Linked DNA regions of Drosophila melanogaster. The protein of the gene in region 1 interacts with the protein of each later gene in a pairwise test. Each region holds a gene or a part of one and is shown on either strand. Other genes may lie near its edges. The genes, in order: CG34331, CG14086, Amnionless and Pebp1.

Region 1 (4,897 bases):
AATGCTGAAATGCTGAAATACTGAAATGCAGAAAGGGAGTGGCTGTGAGTGCGACGAGGCGGCTAAGTGGCGCAGGAAATCCCTGTGGAAGATCCTTAAGAGACATAGAATTTTTCATAATTTTCATTTCTCCGAAATATGCACGCAAAGTTATGACCCGTGCAGGAAGCGAGTAAGCTTTATAATGGAAATAACAAATCAATTATCTCTTGTTTTACTTTTTTTGCACACACTTCTTTGACTTGGCCATATATGCTCATGTTAATGGAAACATAACAGAGTGAACAGAAGCACAGAGTAAGAAAATGATTATATATTTTCGTGAAAAAAAATCCATTAAATTGTATAAATTCAATTAAATGAAATTTAATGCGAATCGCTATCAAATGTTTGTTTCAGATAAGATAAATATATTTATATTGTATTTCAAATGCTTCTTTTATTTTGTATTAAATCATCTTTTTTTCTCAATCCGAAATGTTCCATAAAGATATTGTTTGCAATGCTCTCATAGCTTTGGCTATGTGCTGTCCATTTCTTCGAGTGCAGACTGTATTTTCGCATTTCCAATGATTTTTTTTTGTCCAGTAAGGGTTCATTAGGTTGCCAACTTAGTTTCCTGCAGCGGACTGCAATGGCACTCTCCGCGGCAGGTGAAATGAACAATTGCGAAGCGAGAATGAAATTTCATTTGGTGGAATCATTAAATTTGCAAGCAAATGGAATGTGCCCAAAAGCCGACTTTTCCCGGGGCTAATAAGTTACTTAGTGCTCTCGGCACTGGCATCACATCTTCGTCACAATGTGCACTCAAGGTGGGGAACTTTTTCCCGAGGCCATCGGAAGTGGGGGGCGAAGTTCGAGGGTCGCAACGATAGGTGGCGGCAGCGTCCCGGGGTTCCTGTATCCTGGGGTGCTGTTGATGGGGGGGGGGGGGTCAAAGTTAATAGCTGGCACGTAGTTGGGAGCACACACACACACACACACACACACTCCTGCAGCCAAAGGATCCCACTGCCGGCCTTTAATACGCTTCTCTATTCGGCGTCGCCTTTTTACATATTTAATGAAATTATTTTCAACAATTTATAATTGCCACGAGCAGTCAGTTCGGCCGGCATACTCGCCACCTCACATCCTTCGGCAGGACCCTCCCATCCTTCCACTTCTCCATCAATGCTGTCCTTGGCTGTGCCTTAGTTAAATGTGCCCCGGGGAGAGTTTTGCTGGCAAACAAATTATTATAAAGATATACACGAAAATATGTATGTATATTTTTATATGTAAGCTGGGGGAGTATCTGCCATCAATGTGGAGCCTCTGCCTGCATCCTGGATTCGCCATCCCGTGTCCCCCGGCGCCAGTTAAGTAACCCCTCCCACCCACCAACCATCCCTCCTAGGCGACTTACCTGCTGCCCCAAAACGATTAACAATCTAACTAATAAGGCCCAGCATCTAATCGGACGAGATGTAATGAGGCCAAAAACTAAACATAATATTCAAAAAACTTGTACTCACTTTAAGGGAACTTAATTTCATCATGATCATGAACTATTATGTACGTAGGGAAGTTTGCAAAGGCGGGTCAAAGTTTATGTCTTCGGAATATAGGTATATTTATATTCATACGACTGGCGTGTGCATACTTTAAGTTGTTTTAAAAAAGCATCAATAACAGTTTAATTGGAATATTCACCTCTGCATTGATCCCAGCCATTGCGATTCAATTGTTATAATGCGTGTGCTTATAAAAATCATATATCTATAAATAATTCATACTTCCACCATTCGAGCTGGGAACCTTCTTTCTTTCTGTTTGGCACGTAATTCGCCAATTTGGTGAGTGGCTGAAAAAAGGTTTTTGAATTTTTAATTAGAAAGGCATTCGTGCGTGCCTTGTTTTTGGGAAACCCTCGAACCCTCCTTCCCGGGCAAGTGTTATAATAATAACAATTCGCCATTCGTGCCGCCTATATCCCTTTTATTGGGCTTGTCTGCTGCTTATCATTTGACAGCCTCCGGCCGAGAGGAGAACCCTTATCAAAAGCGAGAGACGTCACATTATATTGAGCTAAAATCAGTTTACAGCATGTGTGAGGAGGATAGAATAGAAATGCCAGAGCCAACACGGATGGAAAATCTATTTCGCATTTACCCATTTTCCTTGTCACATCTAACTAGGCAAAGCTATGATTTGGGCATTCCCACTGAAGCCCAGAAGAGCCGAGAGAATCCAGATGGGGGGCACTTGGGGTAAGTCCTGCAGCTTATTGCACAGAACAATGCCATCAATCAAACTTGGCCAATAATGTGAGTATCTGCGACCTCGGACCGCCACTTCACCTCCTTCAAATCCGCAATCCATTGCGTAAATGTCAACTAATGGATATAATTGGTGCGGCTGGGGCCCTCAATGACATTCATTAAATCGCAGACTCCTTGAAGTTCAGTTTGGATTTCGTTTTAATTGGAAATTCTTTTCACTCCTGACCGATCTCAGTAACCCGTAAGTTATAATAACATGCGGACCGGACCCATTTTGGTAATTAGCACAGCAATAATGTTGCAAAAGTTTCGCTTGATGGGAATGGTTGGGTTATGGGCAAGTCGATCCATGAATATTCATTTTACCATCACATATTCCATTTTATATCACACTTCGGATTGAATGCTCAGCTAAATTCCTTTAAAAACCAACATACACTAGTTCTCCAGAAACCCAAAATCCATGTAGCATCCAATGGAATTGAATTTAACTTGAAGATTTATTAAGGTTCTGCTTTTTCTATTCAGTGCATGTTAGAAGGTCAAAGACTACATATTATGTGTATGATTTGAGCAATTTTGATTCGCTTTCATTGTTCATTGCCAGTTTTAATATATATACTAGTTGGTAGATAAACATATTTGCACATATTTCGTCATATAGTTGTGCTGCACTCAACAAAAGAAAAAAAAAAACGCTGTTTTGGCTTACAGTCGAAGTAGACCTAGGAAAAGCACTGACAGATGTCCTTCTTGCACTGGCCCACCCAGTGACCTTGGCGTTTGCAGTAGCTGTGGCACTGGGGGTGGTGTGGGTGATGTGGCGAGAGCTGGGCGCAGTGGGCGGGGTCCGGCTGAATGTGGCGCACCTTGATCGTGAATATGCCCAGTGGCTTGTCGGTGGCATCTTCCTCCTCTCCGAAATCGATGCCCAGTTCGTTGGCATCGGGTGCGGGAATATCGGGAACATTCGTCTCCACGGGATTCGCCCGACCTTGACCAAGGAACAGACCGATGGTGAGGATCAGGCAGAGCAGCAGGGCGGGCTTTATTGCGCTCATCTCGGTGGCAAGCAAGAAGCAACTGATGCCGTTCCGTTTCCAAGATTTCGATTCGAGCATCCACTTCCAGTGCTCCATTGTGCCGCCTTATCAGTTTCACTTCCCGCTCAAGGTCACCGAGCCCAGCTCTCAGCTCTCGCGCGTTCTAATCACTGTAACTGGACGCACTCCCCGAGTATCTGCCCATTCGCGATTGCGCCTCGGTTTGGCTCAAGTTTCAGATTGGATCCGCTTGAGTTGAGAGAGCATTTCTGCGACTTAACTCTAGACGAGCCTACAAATCGTAAAATTGTATCAATTAAATGTATAATAATTAATACGAAATCTAGACAGATTTCTATAGTCTATAGAGTTTATCGACTATCGGATACCCATTACTCGGCTTAAGAGCGTCCGCAGACAAATGTGTATATATGCAAGTAGGAGCCTCATCTAGCGGCTGTTTAATTTTTTGTTTATGTTTACATTTAAACTTTAAAAAACAACAGTTTTCAAAACAGCGACCAACAACTATCTAGTTTTAATAGTTTACGATCTTGTTAGATTTCTCAGTTTTTACGGACGGACAAATGGACGGGGTCATGTTCATATCAACTCGGCTAGTGATTCTGAATAATATTAATATATTTATATGCATATATAAATAAAGTCGATTATGGGCTTCTTCAACATGTCACATATTTTCCAACGAATAAGTGTTAAATGTTATTGAAGAGCTGTTTGAGTTTGATTTACTTGGAACCACCTCGAATCATCGGCATTGGCCACTCCCTTATTTATTGGAAAAGTGTACTTTTTCGCCAAAATGTTATACATTATTTTTGTGGGGAAACGGCTACAATTTCGCTGATTTTCTCCGTTTTTGTACACAAAATAACAAATGTTGAGCGAACGATTTACGCGGAAATTTGATTTTTATGTTCGTGGAGCTGGTATCCTTGCTCCTTTTCTGCTTTCTGCTTTCACATTTCTCCTTTCTCCCTGCCGCTGTCATTTCGCCAGAAGTTAGTAAAATTGATGGGCAACGGACAGGCAGTTAAAGCCACATAAAAACACCATTTCTGGGGTAATTTTTGGCGCACCCGCCAGCATACATGCGAGCTTCTATACTCGAGTCTCATTTGTTTTAAAATGCAAAAACCATAAAAATAATCATGATAACATTACACAATAATAATAATAATAATAATAATAATAATTACGGCGCTCAAATGTAATACACTGGGAACATCTGCCAAGAGGCAACCCCACCCCGAATTTTCCCATTTTCGCAGCCTTTTTTACCCACACCCATGGGAAAAGTCAATGAAACCGAGCGAAGTGAAGATGTTAACATCCGGAAGACGAGGACTACATTGTACATAGGGCCCTATTTCCGTGCCTATATATTTTTGGATAGTAGTTGTAGAATATGGTATCGTACCCCCCAGCTGTCATCGGGAAGTGATGAAATACATATGCAAATGTGTGGACAAAGCTGGCTTGAAAGTGCTTTTTAGCCAATTGTTATTCAACAAATGCAAAGCCAGAACGAAAGGAATTGATGGACTAATTGGCAAAACGGCATAA
Region 2 (6,302 bases), on another chromosome or scaffold:
CCAAGGGTGATCCCGGCGAGAAGGGGCCGCGTGGAGATAAGGGCCACCCCGGGATGCCTGGAATCCCTGGCCAACCTGGTCCTCAGGGTCCTCCTGGATATCCCGGAGGTTCATATCCACCGTATCCGTATCCTCCACCTCCTCCTCCTCCATCACATGGACATGGAGGCCCTAAAGGCCACCAGAGGCACTACTATAACTACTATGATGAGGACGAGTATGATTACGGCAATGAGCGTTCTTTTGGTCTGAGAAAAACCGAAGAATTCGACGACCAGCCCTTCATTTTGGCCTTTAGTGAACGCAGAAATCCGTTTAGCACAAAAAACAATAAAAGACGAAATTAAAATAACATTATTTAAAACGAAATAGCTTTGATAATTATTTCTGTAGGTAAAAAGCAGATACCCAATACTTAAAAGGAACTTTCAAAATTCTTTTGAAGAATGTCCTTTTTGACTTTTGAGTGGCTTCGTTTATAAATGACACCAAAAATCATACAAAGTGTGGGTTTATCGATTACCTATAAAAATATACCACGCACTCAGCGTTTAAATCGAAACCTCTTTACAAACTGTATATTATTAGACATTTGTTAAGTCGTTTAAAATCTCACATTACATTAGGCAGAAAAGCTGGCTTAAACTATTAGCAAACATCGTCGTCTAGGGCGGTGTGGTCGTCGCCCTCCTCCTCCGCTTCCTCATCCAATCCCGCTTGCGTGGCACCAATCTCCGCGAAATCATCCTCCATGGTATCCACAAAGCTCGACACCCTATCATCGCAGAACAAACAGACATTAGAAACAAATAACAAAGACATTCGTTGGCTGGCATCACTTTTCAAAGTCGCACTGCGGCAGGAGACCCTCCTCCTTCGAGGCGCTGAATCGGAGCAGCGTGCACAGTCTGAGGAGTCCGAGGAGTATCAGGAACATCCCGGCCACATAACTCAGCCACAGATTGTGGGGATACAGGATCAGGCAGATGCCGATGACCGCATAAACAGGAGTGGGTCGCCAACCGCCACAAATCGCTGAAAGTCGCCAGCAGGCCAAGCAGCTGCAGGACCTTCGCTGGTAATTATCCCTGAAACAAATTGAATTCACAAATATGTGAACAGAGAAAAATTTGCAGAGAAAAATCTGAGCAAAGGCACTTGATATAGAGTATTGTATATAATAGTAAAGTATATCATATTATAGTATAATTAGGGTTTAATTAGTTTTACAACTACTAGGCTTGGTAACTAGAATTTCTATATTTCATAAATAATAACTGCTAATTATCAAATAATATATATACGAATAACTATAATTTATGAACATGTTATTTGGTAATCTTGAATAGTTTTCTTACTCTGCGCACTGAAGTTGCAGGAAGATAGTCACAAGCCACTTGATCTCGATAAACATTACCAGCACGGCTGAAAAACTAACCAGAAATTAGTATAGTTATGGGGGATATTTAGATCCGTGACTTACACTATATAAAGACCGGCCCGATAGCCATGCATGTAGACATCAACGCCAACGCCGCAGATAACTGAAATGAAAAATGGCTAAAGAAAGGTTCGGTGCGGGGGGTCCTTTTTGGCGGGTTGAAACGAGGAGTGTTATCCTTGAACGAGCCTATAAAATAATGTGAGTGTGTCTAGGCAAATATATTTATAAGCATATTTATTGAGCTGGGCCTTTTTTGTTTACCATGCTTTGGCCATAAAATGTAATACAAAACCAATGAATGGAAACGAGGTGAGCTCAAGAAGTTTATCGCAATTTTACTGAAGCTTACATCATTTGCAATAGAGTATTTTAAGAAGGCAATGTCCTACACATTACGAAATAACATAATGATAATTAATAATAAATAGCTTGGAAGAAACTTCAATATTCATGACGAACTTAAATTTTATAACTTAAAAGGTTTCTATATTTTTGTCGAACAGCCCTCCGCAGGGCATTCATATTCTAACCACATTATGGTTCCGCTTCACATTTTGTCTTAGCCAAATCCACTTTGAGTGTATAAGATATGGTTAGATGTGGTTATGGAGCCACCACGCCCAGTGGTCCATAAAAATACAATCTAATTAAGTTGTTTTTATTATGCCGGGTCGCGAAAAACCAATCAGATTAGCCAGTTAGATATATGTATATGTATGCCCCATATTTAAGCACAACTGCAGAACCGAAACCAAACCAATTACATTAAATGCTGTCAACGGAGATAAAAATTGAAAAAGCGGAAATCGAAAAAACATGCAAAAATTATCTGGATAATTGAAAGCGGTGGGGGAAAAATAGATGCCGGGCAAGAGGAAAACTTGGCGAATGGCTGGCGCCTAAAGGCTAACAACACAGCTCATTGTCGACCGTATGGAAAAGTTGCTGATAAGGGGAAAATCGGGCTGGGAAAACTCTGCTCTTGGCACAGGATGCCAGTCGTGAGCTGCAAGCTGCAAGCTGCATAGAGGCCAATGCCTTGTTAATGGCTCTGCCAGAGAGTTTCCTTGGAAAACCCCATCCCTCTTACCCGATCCCTATAATGCGGAGCTTATGAACTACAGAGATTTTATACTTTGTTTTCCTGCGTGCCACTGCACCCATGATGGACCCCAAAACAATTTGCAAAGAAATTAGTTTGAACTTGACCCGAAGTTTTTGTTGGCCTGCCTGCAGCTGGGCGATTTATCAAATTCTGTATAAAAAAACGGCGGTGCACTATCTTAAGCGCATTAGGAAAATGTCAGATGGTGGAGGAAAATCGTTATGATTGGCCACGATAAGCGTTTAAGCCAACTTTGATAACTTCACCAGATGGCAGAAAAATTGGGATGAAAAAATGTGATTGCATTTTCGTAGATTAGAATGCGGATACAGGGTGAAAAAGTTACGTTGTGCAACCAAACTGAATTCATTTCAGAAAGGTAATATTATTATTTATTAAGTTTTTGCTTCACTTTACCTTGCCTGTTTAATAAATTAAATTTGACTTCGTAAATTGACAAACGAAATGCCATTAAATTTCAGGCTGTCAATCTAAAATTATTGCCTCAATTTAAACGGAAAAAATGTAACACAAAGCTGGGTTGTACAAAAAAAGCATAATTGAATTGTAATTAAATGACGCAAAAAAAGGGAAATTAATCTTCTACCAATTTACTCTCTGTGTTCTATTTAATTGTTAAGCTAAACTGGAATTTCAGTAGTATTGGATGGCATTTATTTATTTTACCAAATTACATTAGGTCAAATATCCTGTTCATTAGAGCACATATTCTGTGCTATATGTGCTCTGTGAATATGGAAAACCATTTCCTTTTATGTACATTTATTTTGCCAGTCTTCTCAAACAAATGCAAAACCTTTGTGTACAATGAAAATATTGCTCAAAGAGTAATATTATATGAATTGAAAGGAACAATAAAAGCAGCCAATAAGAGCGTGTCCCCATTCAGCATCGTCTTCGTCTTGCGAATCCCATTCAGTGCCAAGAAATATAATAAGCCACAGCACTCAACATATCCCGAGGCAATGGTTCCCATGCACAAGTATTTCCTACGATTTGTCAAGGGTAAACATTCCAAATAAGGGCCAGAAAAGCATTGCACATTCATACATAAATGCATGCACATGCACATGCATCATAGCCTCGTATCGAGATTGGCATTATCTCGAAACGGGGGTCACCTGGGCACCGGCACCGACAAGTCTTATTCCACTGGCTCGGATTTCCGCGCACTTGAGCTTACCGAATGAAGTCAGCAGACCAAAAACCCTTATCACAGGACGAAGGCACTCGCACGGCTCTGCGGACTGATTGCGGCGATGATGACGGGCGCGGCGAACGCGCTGCGATTGCAGTTGCATCTGGCTCATGGCTGACTTGGTTATATATATATATATATAGATATTTACTTTATGAATTTCTATCTATATTTGTTTTATGAATCGCCAAAAGTGCGGCTTTATTCTTAATATCTTATTTATTGGAGCTCAAGTTTTTCTTCTCCTTCGTTATTACTGATGACAAAAGTCGAAGCCATAGCATTTAAATTTTTGATTAATGTGTAAGCTCCACTTACTTAATTTCCAATTTATTTAATATATTTATTCGTTTTTAATTTCACTTTAGAACAATTTTAGTTTTTGGTTAAATTCAAATTTTCAATGTACTACTTTCTAATCCTCCATAACTTTAAATACTCTCATCCGAAACTGACGTTTTAGGTCCTGTCCAAGGGAATCGCTAATAAAACAATCAAAGAGCCGTATCCACATCACAAAAATGCACTACGTGCCTGGCATACTAAGTGGCCAAACAACTTTGCGATAAATATTTTCAATTCCAGCTCGCACAGCTTTTAAATTTCACCATTTAACTCGGGCACACACTGCGTATTCGTAATGTGACATTTTTCGCACCTCTCCTTCCATTGCCTTTAATCACCGCACCGTTTGCTTGTGTGTGTGTGTGTGTGTGTGTGTGGCAACTAATGTCTGCAAATTACCGTTACCATTTGCACTTTGCCCCCGCACGTTGTGTGCCCTCTATAATATATATTTTTTTTATTAAATATTTTTCTTATTGTTGTTGAAGGTTTGTAACTTTTTTTATTTTTGTCAAGTGCCACTTTGCCACACGACTTTATGGCCGAGCTCTAAACAACGAACGTCCGCACGCTTCCAGCGGCGCCAGCAGAATGAAACTGAATGAAAGGACCGGCCAGGATTCGTTTCTATTTTCGGAGTCAGGATCCAGAGTCGCCGCTCAGGCTGCTTTTCCCATTGCTTTTCCTACTGCCACTGACTTTGTAGCCAAATACCAGCCAATGGGGCGGCGCTGCATTCGAAACTGCTAAGTTGATTTGTTACGAGAACGAACGCGTAGTGTTTATTTCTTTTTAAATGCGTTTTTGCGATTTAATGCTGAGATTTATGGAGACCGCAAAATTTATCCATGTTGTTTTAAAGATGTTTTTAATTGGTTAGCTGTTTTTGACATCCACTATCATTTGTATTTGAAAACTTATTTGGCGTTGGCAGTATGAGAATTCTTTAAAACTATGCTCTTGAAATATATTAATTGAAAGCAAGAATATAGGGCTGATTTTTAACTAGAATAATGCTTTAATTTCAATCAGAAGTTATTTAACTTGGTTTTTTTTTAGTATTGTAGTAGGAATACAATTTTTGAATTACATTGTTAATATAATTAAGGAACTCAAATAAATAATTAATTTTCTTTTTGTCTTCAGTATTTTAATTAGAACTGTTTGTATGTTTTATCTCTTTTTTTTTGTAAAAAGTGTTTCCTCTCGCGATTTATTGTGTAGCGTAGCGCATTGGGTCAGTCTTTATAGTCCTGCGGTTTTTTACAAGAAGGCACCATGGGCGAGAGCTTAATATTGTGTGTGATTTAAATATATTCCCACCCGAATGCTTACTTGATTACGATTTTTCCAAATGTAAAAGAAGAGGGAAGTATGAAATTTACCTACGATTTTACACAACGAAAATCTTACTTATATGCACTTGATAAATATTCTACCAGGTGTAAAGATAATCTTTAACTATTACAAATATTGAAGTTTTAAGCCTAAAACAGGATTCTCGGCCCACTGCTCAAAGCCAGCTTGATTTTATTTGTCACGTTGTCCTGTGTGTGAAGCCAGTGCCTCATGTTGTTGCCACTGCTCAAGCGGCTCTGTGTGTGCGTGCCCTCGTCCTGCAGGTCCTGTGGATCCCCGCACCCGTCTTTGGCCACGTTTCAGTAATTTTCATAACTGGCTGAATGGTGAGCGGAGCGGCGGGAGGTGTAAAGAAGCTCAAAAGACAACCAGGAGCAAAGCTGAGCAATTGCCAAGAGGCGGACGAGTACGCAGAATGTGGACAAAAACATTTTCGGTTGCTACACCGCCCTCATCCTCATAAATTAAATGGGGGCCAAATTCAGGAGAGGGGAAGCACGAGTAAATATTTTTTTAGCTCCTCCGCTTATTGTCCTGTGCATTTGCTAAGGTGTCTGTCGTCAGGCTTGTTTGCATTATGCGGCGTTAATGACATCCAAAGTGGCAGCCGTCGCCCCAAGGAAAGTCTCCACTGTCGCCGCCATCTACGACATAATTCACAGATGCCCCACACTCTGAAAAGTTAATTTCCTTAAGGAACAGCTCGAGGATTCTAGCGAAATACTTCTGAAGGTCGTCCTTGATACCGCCTCCTGCAGTTGGAGTCGTTTGTCCAGGTCTTCTATGCTTGCAATTGGTCTTACACTGTACACAATGAAAAAAGTTGTAAT
Region 3 (4,088 bases), on another chromosome or scaffold:
GTGCCCATCGAAAGCGCCACAAAGATACAGAGATACATATGTGAGAAATTATGGGAAATTAAAAAACAAGACGGAAATGCGGCCAGCATCGGTTGTTTCAAGTGTTGAGCTCGAGACCAGAAAAATCAGCGAAGGAAAAATTATTTATATTCTAGGCCCGTATGCCGATGTTCGGGTTTATGTGTGCCATATGTTTGTTTATTTGTTTGTCTGTTCGCTGGGGATCGCCCCCTTTCCCCTTCGATTTTCTCTTACTTGCACGCTCTTTTTATCGGCCAGGCGGGGTCAACAACTGTGGAATACGGAGGAGTATCCGCCAGATACGGGAGCTGTGCTCGCCGAATTTCCTCATTCGCGCTGCACTTTTCCCTGATGGCAATGCACATTCCGTGTGGGAAAGCGTTTTTCGGCATTTTCTCGCCCCAAGTGTTTATTTGCTCAGATGTTCGCGGTTTTCCAGATTTTTGATTCCACTTCTTGACGAATGCGAGATTATCTGATGGGCGCCAATGTAAATGTGCCATACGTGGCAGTTGGCTTCGATTTGGTATTCTGCTATTCGGTGCTTCTGACGCCTCATTTACATATCGTTAAATTGTTAGAAAATCGATGGATTATTGCATTTTTCTCGCAGCTCCTTGGCAACTGGCACAAGCGAATGTTTCATTGTTGAATTGGTGAACGAATTTCATTTCGAATGGGTAAATAAATATGTCTTGAATTTCGGCCCACAGAAAAAAAAAGAAAAAATGTATTAAATAAGGAAATTAACGTCACTTAAGAGAAATTGTACTTGTAATTGAAGAAAAATGTATGCTGCCACAAATCTGGTTTTAAAATGGGCTATAAAATACATACATATATATAACGAGTCCACTTCTGATGTTATCTCCATACATTTTTCTCAACTTGACAATATTTCTGCTCAATCTCTTTAAGATATGACCCAGAAATGAAGATATTTTTGCATTAATTGCATTTATTCAAGAGAAGGAATTGTGCTCTTTTTTGATACGATGCTTTTACATATGTACATATTTCCACACCACGGCTTTCCATTTCCGTGCGTCTTTCCAGGAACATCTTAGTTTGTTATTGCATGACCTTGCTCGCCCTTGATTAACGCCGTCTGTCCCGCAAAAAGTACTTTGATCTGGTCAGCATAAAGTGCTTTATATCTACAGATCTTTTTCTTTTATGTAGTCCCTTGAAACGATCACGAGAACTTTTCGGTGCCACTACCATCCGGTTCATTATTTTCGTTGTCGAATTTTTACCTTTCTTCTGGTCTTCTGGGCATCTTAAAAATCTGGTGTGCTGAAATTGTTTATATCGGCGCAATCAAAATACAAATAAACTAACTATGTTCTGACAAACAATTGCATTGTTGAAGCAAACGTGAAATTATCTGTGTACGCTTTTTGCCAAATTCTCTTCGATTCGAAACAATTTATTAGTAAAATATATTTAAAGAAAAGATTTAGGTTTCGATCCACTAATAGGATTAGCTGTGTTTAGAATAAAAAAAAAATATATATATATAAGCAAAATCTTTGTGGAGAATATAAAGCATGAATTCCATGCTTTTCCAAATGTCATTTACAAACACAATATACATATACAAACTCCATTTATATTTTTATAAACATTGAAAAGTAACTATAAGTAACATAAGAACATGTTCCCAAAAATGATAGGGTATGAGTTGTCCCCATCAGCCTGATTTCCCTTACATCTGCTGTCCATCACCCCTGTGTTTATTTGCTCTCGTTGGTTCCAATTCTGATTGTTATCCGCCCCCAAATAAGAGGCAACATCATCGAATGGAATTCTCCGAACGTTTCAGATTTAGTTTAGAGTTCACTGAGTTTCCACGATGGGTTTGCATTGGCAATGGCTGATCTGGGCATTGGTGGGGCTCCATGTGGCACTGGCCACCAAGTGGTATGGCGGTGGAATGGACTTCAATGATCCCACCGCCTGGCTAGATGACCACTTGCCTTGTGCACAGGATTTGGTCGTTTTTCCAGAGTACTACCCAGCTCTGCTGCCCTTGCCCGAGGACATATCCATTGATGGCTTGGTTTTCCCCAGAGAAGGGGCGATCCTTTTGGCAGAGGAATCCACCATTACCTTTGGATCTGATAAGCAGCCCTCCTGTGAGAGCGATGAGAATAAGGCCTATTTGAAGCCACCGAAGTCGAGTAAATGGTTCGATCCTGGCACCTGGACGGACAAATCTAAGGAATTTTCCACATTCACACCAGAGCTGGAGAGGATTCCCTGTGATGACGAGCAGGTCATAATCAAGGGGCACGGACCATTGGCCTTTGACCTAGAAAACGTGCAGTATCTGAGGCTGGGACAGCTTATTCTGGCTGGTTCTTCCATTTCCAAAACGTACTTGGAGCAACTTATCAGCAGAGATCTGGGCCAGTTTCTCTTTTACAATGCCGAGTACGTCCAGGTGGAGTACTACAGAGGAGAGCTGTGTGGCTGCCACAAGGACTTCGAGCGACTGCTGGAACCCGTTTGCCATAATGTCCAGGAGCAGTGCGAGACGCCCCACTGCTTGTCTCCAGTTCGACCCTTGGGATCGTGCTGCCTAATCTGCGGGGCCATTCTATCCACGCCCACGACCCACTGCACCGAGGGCAGTAGAAAGGAGTTGGTGGCCCAGATAAGTAACCTCATCAGCCAGGAGAGCCTGAAGGATCAGATCGGCCTACACGTGGAGTTTGTGGGCTCCCAGAAGTTTGGAAACTGCCTGCAGGCGGTGGTAACTGATCGCCATAAATATAGTGAACGGAGCTTGGAGTTTCTACAGCAAAACGAACACAATTGGAACAAGACAGGAACAACGTTAAAAGTTTCTGGTCGACCCTATAATCCGAATGTTAGCTTCTCCTCGATTGTTCTCATCCTTTTCTGCATGGCACTGGTGGGTCTGGTTTCTGTGGTCATTTTGGCGCACTTTATGCCTGAGAACCCCTACCTAAACCGCATACCACAGTGGATCCACGACCCCCGTCTTTGGAGGTGGCGTCACTTGGGATTGAGACTGCGCCGGAATCTGCTGTTTAACCGCTTCGACAATGGTGGCGCAGAGGGTGGATCCAGTGAAGGAGGAGCTTCTGGTGTGGATCGTCTGGGAATTATGGCTTACGATCCGGAAAGTGGCGAGGTGAGGGAGCGAGCCTTTGACAATCCGATGTTTGAGCAGGGAGGAGCTTTGGAGGAGGCTGCCAAGGAGTCGCAGGAGCAGGATGAAATCCTGAGTGTCCCCAAAATGGAGACTGGTGATCTGGACGCCAGAAGTGTGGTGGATGAACAGGAGCTTACGGAAATCAATTTGGAAACCTGCGAGGCGGACACCGACGAGGAGACCATCTAATTAAGATTCTCAAAAATAAGACATAGAAACCTGATTCGAAAGCACCAATGGAGCATCACGTATAATCTGATGTACAATTTTAAGATTGTGTGTTCTATATATGTATATTAATAGATCTGCTTATTAAAGTATTTGTTATGATTACATTATAAATGTTCCTGGGCGCAGATGGTCCAGTAATTAACTCTATTTACAAGTTGTAGGCGGATCTGCGTGAATATTTTCGGATATTATTGTTCAGTGAATCAATTACTAACGCACAATCGATGCATCGCGTGTAACGAAAGGGCAAAGAACCAAGAGAGCACCTGATAATTTTACCAGGTAATTCAGTTAGCGGTGCCTTTTGTCGCGATGGCCTTGTTCCTTGACCTTCACAGGGGGTGGATTGGTGGTGATGGGACCGGGAAACGATAGTTGCCATTAGCTGCGAAGATATTTCCAGAAGCCTTTGTCCCCCGGCTCATAAATGTGGCTCATGTGTATCCGTATCTATTCATAGACACGCTTGGGAAGGCACGTGCCTCCCCCAGTTGCCATAGGATATGAATCCGTAGATATGCACGGATCTAGGGACGTGGGACGGAGGCGTACCGATGCGGATTAAGCGACCGCTTTCGGATTTCATTTTAGCTTCTGCCAATTCATTCTGAAGTGGAAATACTTTGTACTACGGCGATTGAGAGTGCGGGTG
Region 4 (2,717 bases), on another chromosome or scaffold:
ACGTTATGCGGAGGAGTTTAACAAACTGGTGGCCGATTTCTTTAACAAAAATAACTAGATTAACCAATATATTTAAGCTTTCATGGATCCAAACTCATTACTTGTTTAACAATGGTAACTTGAAGTTGGATGGATATTCGTTATATGTGAAAGCAGTTATCAGAAATGAGCATGCAGGTGTTCAAAGTTCGAATTTTAAAAGGAAACTGATAGTTTTGATGAATCAAATTCATATCTAAGTTAAAGAATATTGTTATCTATTCAATGAATCATTTCGAAATAAATTGAAAAATAACCATATCTCCTAACTTAGCGAAAGGGAAATAAATGATTAATTATAAACATTTCTTTCTCTCGCTTTTATAAACTTAACTTCAAAGAAAGATATCAAAGCCTCGGGCAAGTTTAAATTAATTCCGGAAATGTTATCAAAAGTAATTCTTATAAAAATATACTTCAGCTGCTTATGGAAATCGCATAGCAAAAGACCCGCCCACAAGCATGTATGAGATAACTTTTATGAGAACTAGTACATATTTAATATTTATTATTTCACAGAGAGCTGATCAGTTGGTGGCCAGATTACTGGACCGTCTCGATGAGGGTCTTCACGTAGTCATCGTATTGGGCCTGGAAGAAGTTGCCGGCCACGGGACCGCCGAAGCTGTACTTCTGGATGTAGTCGCGGGCCTTGACGTTGATGCGGCCAGTGCGGCTGGTCTTGGACACGAACTTCTCGGTGGTGATCTTGTCGTTCTGCTTGAACACCAGGAAGACGTAGCGGTGCAGGCCGGTTCCCTCGCGGGGTCCAGCACCGATGTACTCGGCGATGGTCTGGCCCTCGGACACCTTGTTGCCGGGAATGTTGATCACCAGCCAGTGGAGCAGCTCACGGAACTTGGGGTCCTCGCGGCTGGGTGCGTCGGGGTCCACCAACAGGATGGTGTACAGGGAGTTGGGCTCGGCATCGAAGACGACAGTGGGCTGGTCCTTCACCTGAGTGGGAGTCAGCTCCTTGCCCAGCTCAACCTGAACGCCGGAAGGATAGGTGATGGTGGCCTTGGAGGCGGGCTTGACGTCGATGATGTCGGGAATAATGCCGGCGGTGTCCATGTTAGCTGGTAGTTCTGTTGCTTCTGCTCGGTGTAGCGTTAGCGAGTTGACTCTGGCCCGGATCCCTGATGTCTGGCCTTTTATCGACGGAGTCCGCCGCCTAATCAGTTCCGTGCACTTTTCAGTTAATACCCCAACGCATAGATAGCGAGATAAGCAATTGGTTAAACTTTATTGACGGGGAATTGAAAACCCTGCATGATATATGCACAAATCTAGCCTACGATCGTTTTATTCCGAATTGGCACATAGTCATCATACTGGGCCTGGTAATAATTGGCGGCAATGGGCTCGCCCAATCCATGTTTGGCGGCAAAGTCCCGGGCGTTGAAGTTCAAACGGCCTGTGCGAGTACTGTGAATGGGAATTGATCAGTGTCACAGTAAACTGATAAATATCTTAATATATATCATACGTATTGGATATAGTGGGCGTCTCCTCGATCTTGTTCTCCTGGCGATAGAGGAGGAAAATATACCGATGCAGGCCAGTGTCCTTGGGCGGTCCAGATCCAACGTAGTCCGCTAGGGAGTGGCCACCAGAAGGATTCTCATTGCTGCCGGGAATGTTGACCACAGACCAGTGCAGAATCTCACGGTACTTGGGATCTTGACGAGTCGGTGCATCGGGATCCACCATGAGCAGGGTCAATAGGTTGGACTTTCCCTCCAGCCCAGACCAGCTGACAATCGGTTGGTCCTTCACCTGGGTGGGGGTTAGCTCGTTGCCCTGCTTGACCTCCAAGTCATCGCCATAGATGACCTTAATGGTGCCAGCGGGAACCGCATCCAGCACATCGGGTACTATGTCATCCATGTTACGTGTAGCGTGTCAGCCCAAAAAGATGATAATACGGTTTTTTTTTCGTGGCGTTATCACTCTGCTGACCAAGCCAGCTGGGTGATAACAAAGCAAAAGCTTCACTCTGATTCAGCGGATATCTACGGATTTATTAAAATTTCCAGTCCAATTAATTAGTATCTGGATGGCGAAACCAGTCAAGGCTATCCAGCGCTGGCAACAGCTAACACCTAGAAATAATAGTTTAATGGACACAGCGGAATAAACTTTATCGCAGTGGGTGAACTGATTGGACAATGTTGATTTCTAGCGCCGATGGAAAATTGTGAAAAGCCCCTTCCACGATAAGCAAGCTTTTATGCCAACTGGCATTTTTAGGCCCTTTTTTGCTTTCCCAAAACGCAAAGATCACTTCCATTGGTGCGATGATTCATGGCTAGAAACTAGTTTTCACTTCGTTGAACATCATCAATAATTGTGACGTTAATTTCAGGATTTAGCTGATCTTGAACCAATGTGCACACGTGATAGCGAAGACAGCACTTGTGGGCTGATCATAAAGTTGTATATCACCCATTTATGAGGTTGTAATCGTACCTTTCCGTTCTATTGTTGGGCATATCAGTTCGATATAGGGAAAAGCCATATAACGATACCCTTTCACCAATGAGAAACACATCATTTTTAGTATATATCATGCTAATTTATTTATTAAACAATTCGAATATTATTAACACTTGAATATCAATATTGATAGCGCTGACAGAGTTTTGGTCTATTAAATACGCTTAGTTGCATTTATC

What was found.
Region 2: the proteins of CG34331 (region 1) and CG14086 interact in a two-hybrid assay, tested with the Drosophila melanogaster proteins (one large-scale study listed by BioGRID).
Region 3: the proteins of CG34331 (region 1) and Amnionless interact in a two-hybrid assay, tested with the Drosophila melanogaster proteins (one large-scale study listed by BioGRID).
Region 4: the proteins of CG34331 (region 1) and Pebp1 interact in a two-hybrid assay, tested with the Drosophila melanogaster proteins (one large-scale study listed by BioGRID).

What each region holds. Positions count from the first base shown.
Region 1 is NC_004354.4:20,120,915-20,125,811, reverse strand, and holds CG34331 (uncharacterized protein), read right to left. Parts: upstream 3,360-4,897; 5' UTR 3,329-3,359; coding exon 3,137-3,328; coding exon of another isoform or gene 2,993-3,136; exon of another isoform or gene 2,751-2,992; intron 917-2,750; coding exon 704-916; 3' UTR 541-703; downstream 1-540.
Region 2 is NT_037436.4:19,274,171-19,280,472, reverse strand, and holds CG14086 (uncharacterized protein), read right to left. Parts: upstream 4,683-6,302; 5' UTR 3,881-4,682; coding exon 3,754-3,880; intron 1,545-3,753; coding exon 1,484-1,544; intron 1,434-1,483; coding exon 1,359-1,433; intron 1,089-1,358; coding exon 840-1,088; intron 776-839; coding exon 649-775; 3' UTR 554-648; downstream 1-553. Other genes in the region: CG14089 (uncharacterized protein), read left to right, coding at 1-347.
Region 3 is NT_033779.5:286,708-290,795, reverse strand, and holds Amnionless (amnionless), read left to right. Parts: upstream 1-1,651; 5' UTR 1,652-1,876; coding exon 1,877-3,394; 3' UTR 3,395-3,544; downstream 3,545-4,088.
Region 4 is NT_033777.3:22,464,487-22,467,203, reverse strand, and holds Pebp1 (Phosphatidylethanolamine-binding protein 1), read right to left. Parts: upstream 1,171-2,717; 5' UTR 1,114-1,170; coding exon 583-1,113; 3' UTR 525-582; downstream 1-524. Other genes in the region: CG5377 (uncharacterized protein), read left to right, coding at 1-58; CG7054 (uncharacterized protein), read right to left, coding at 1,329-1,467, 1,529-1,929.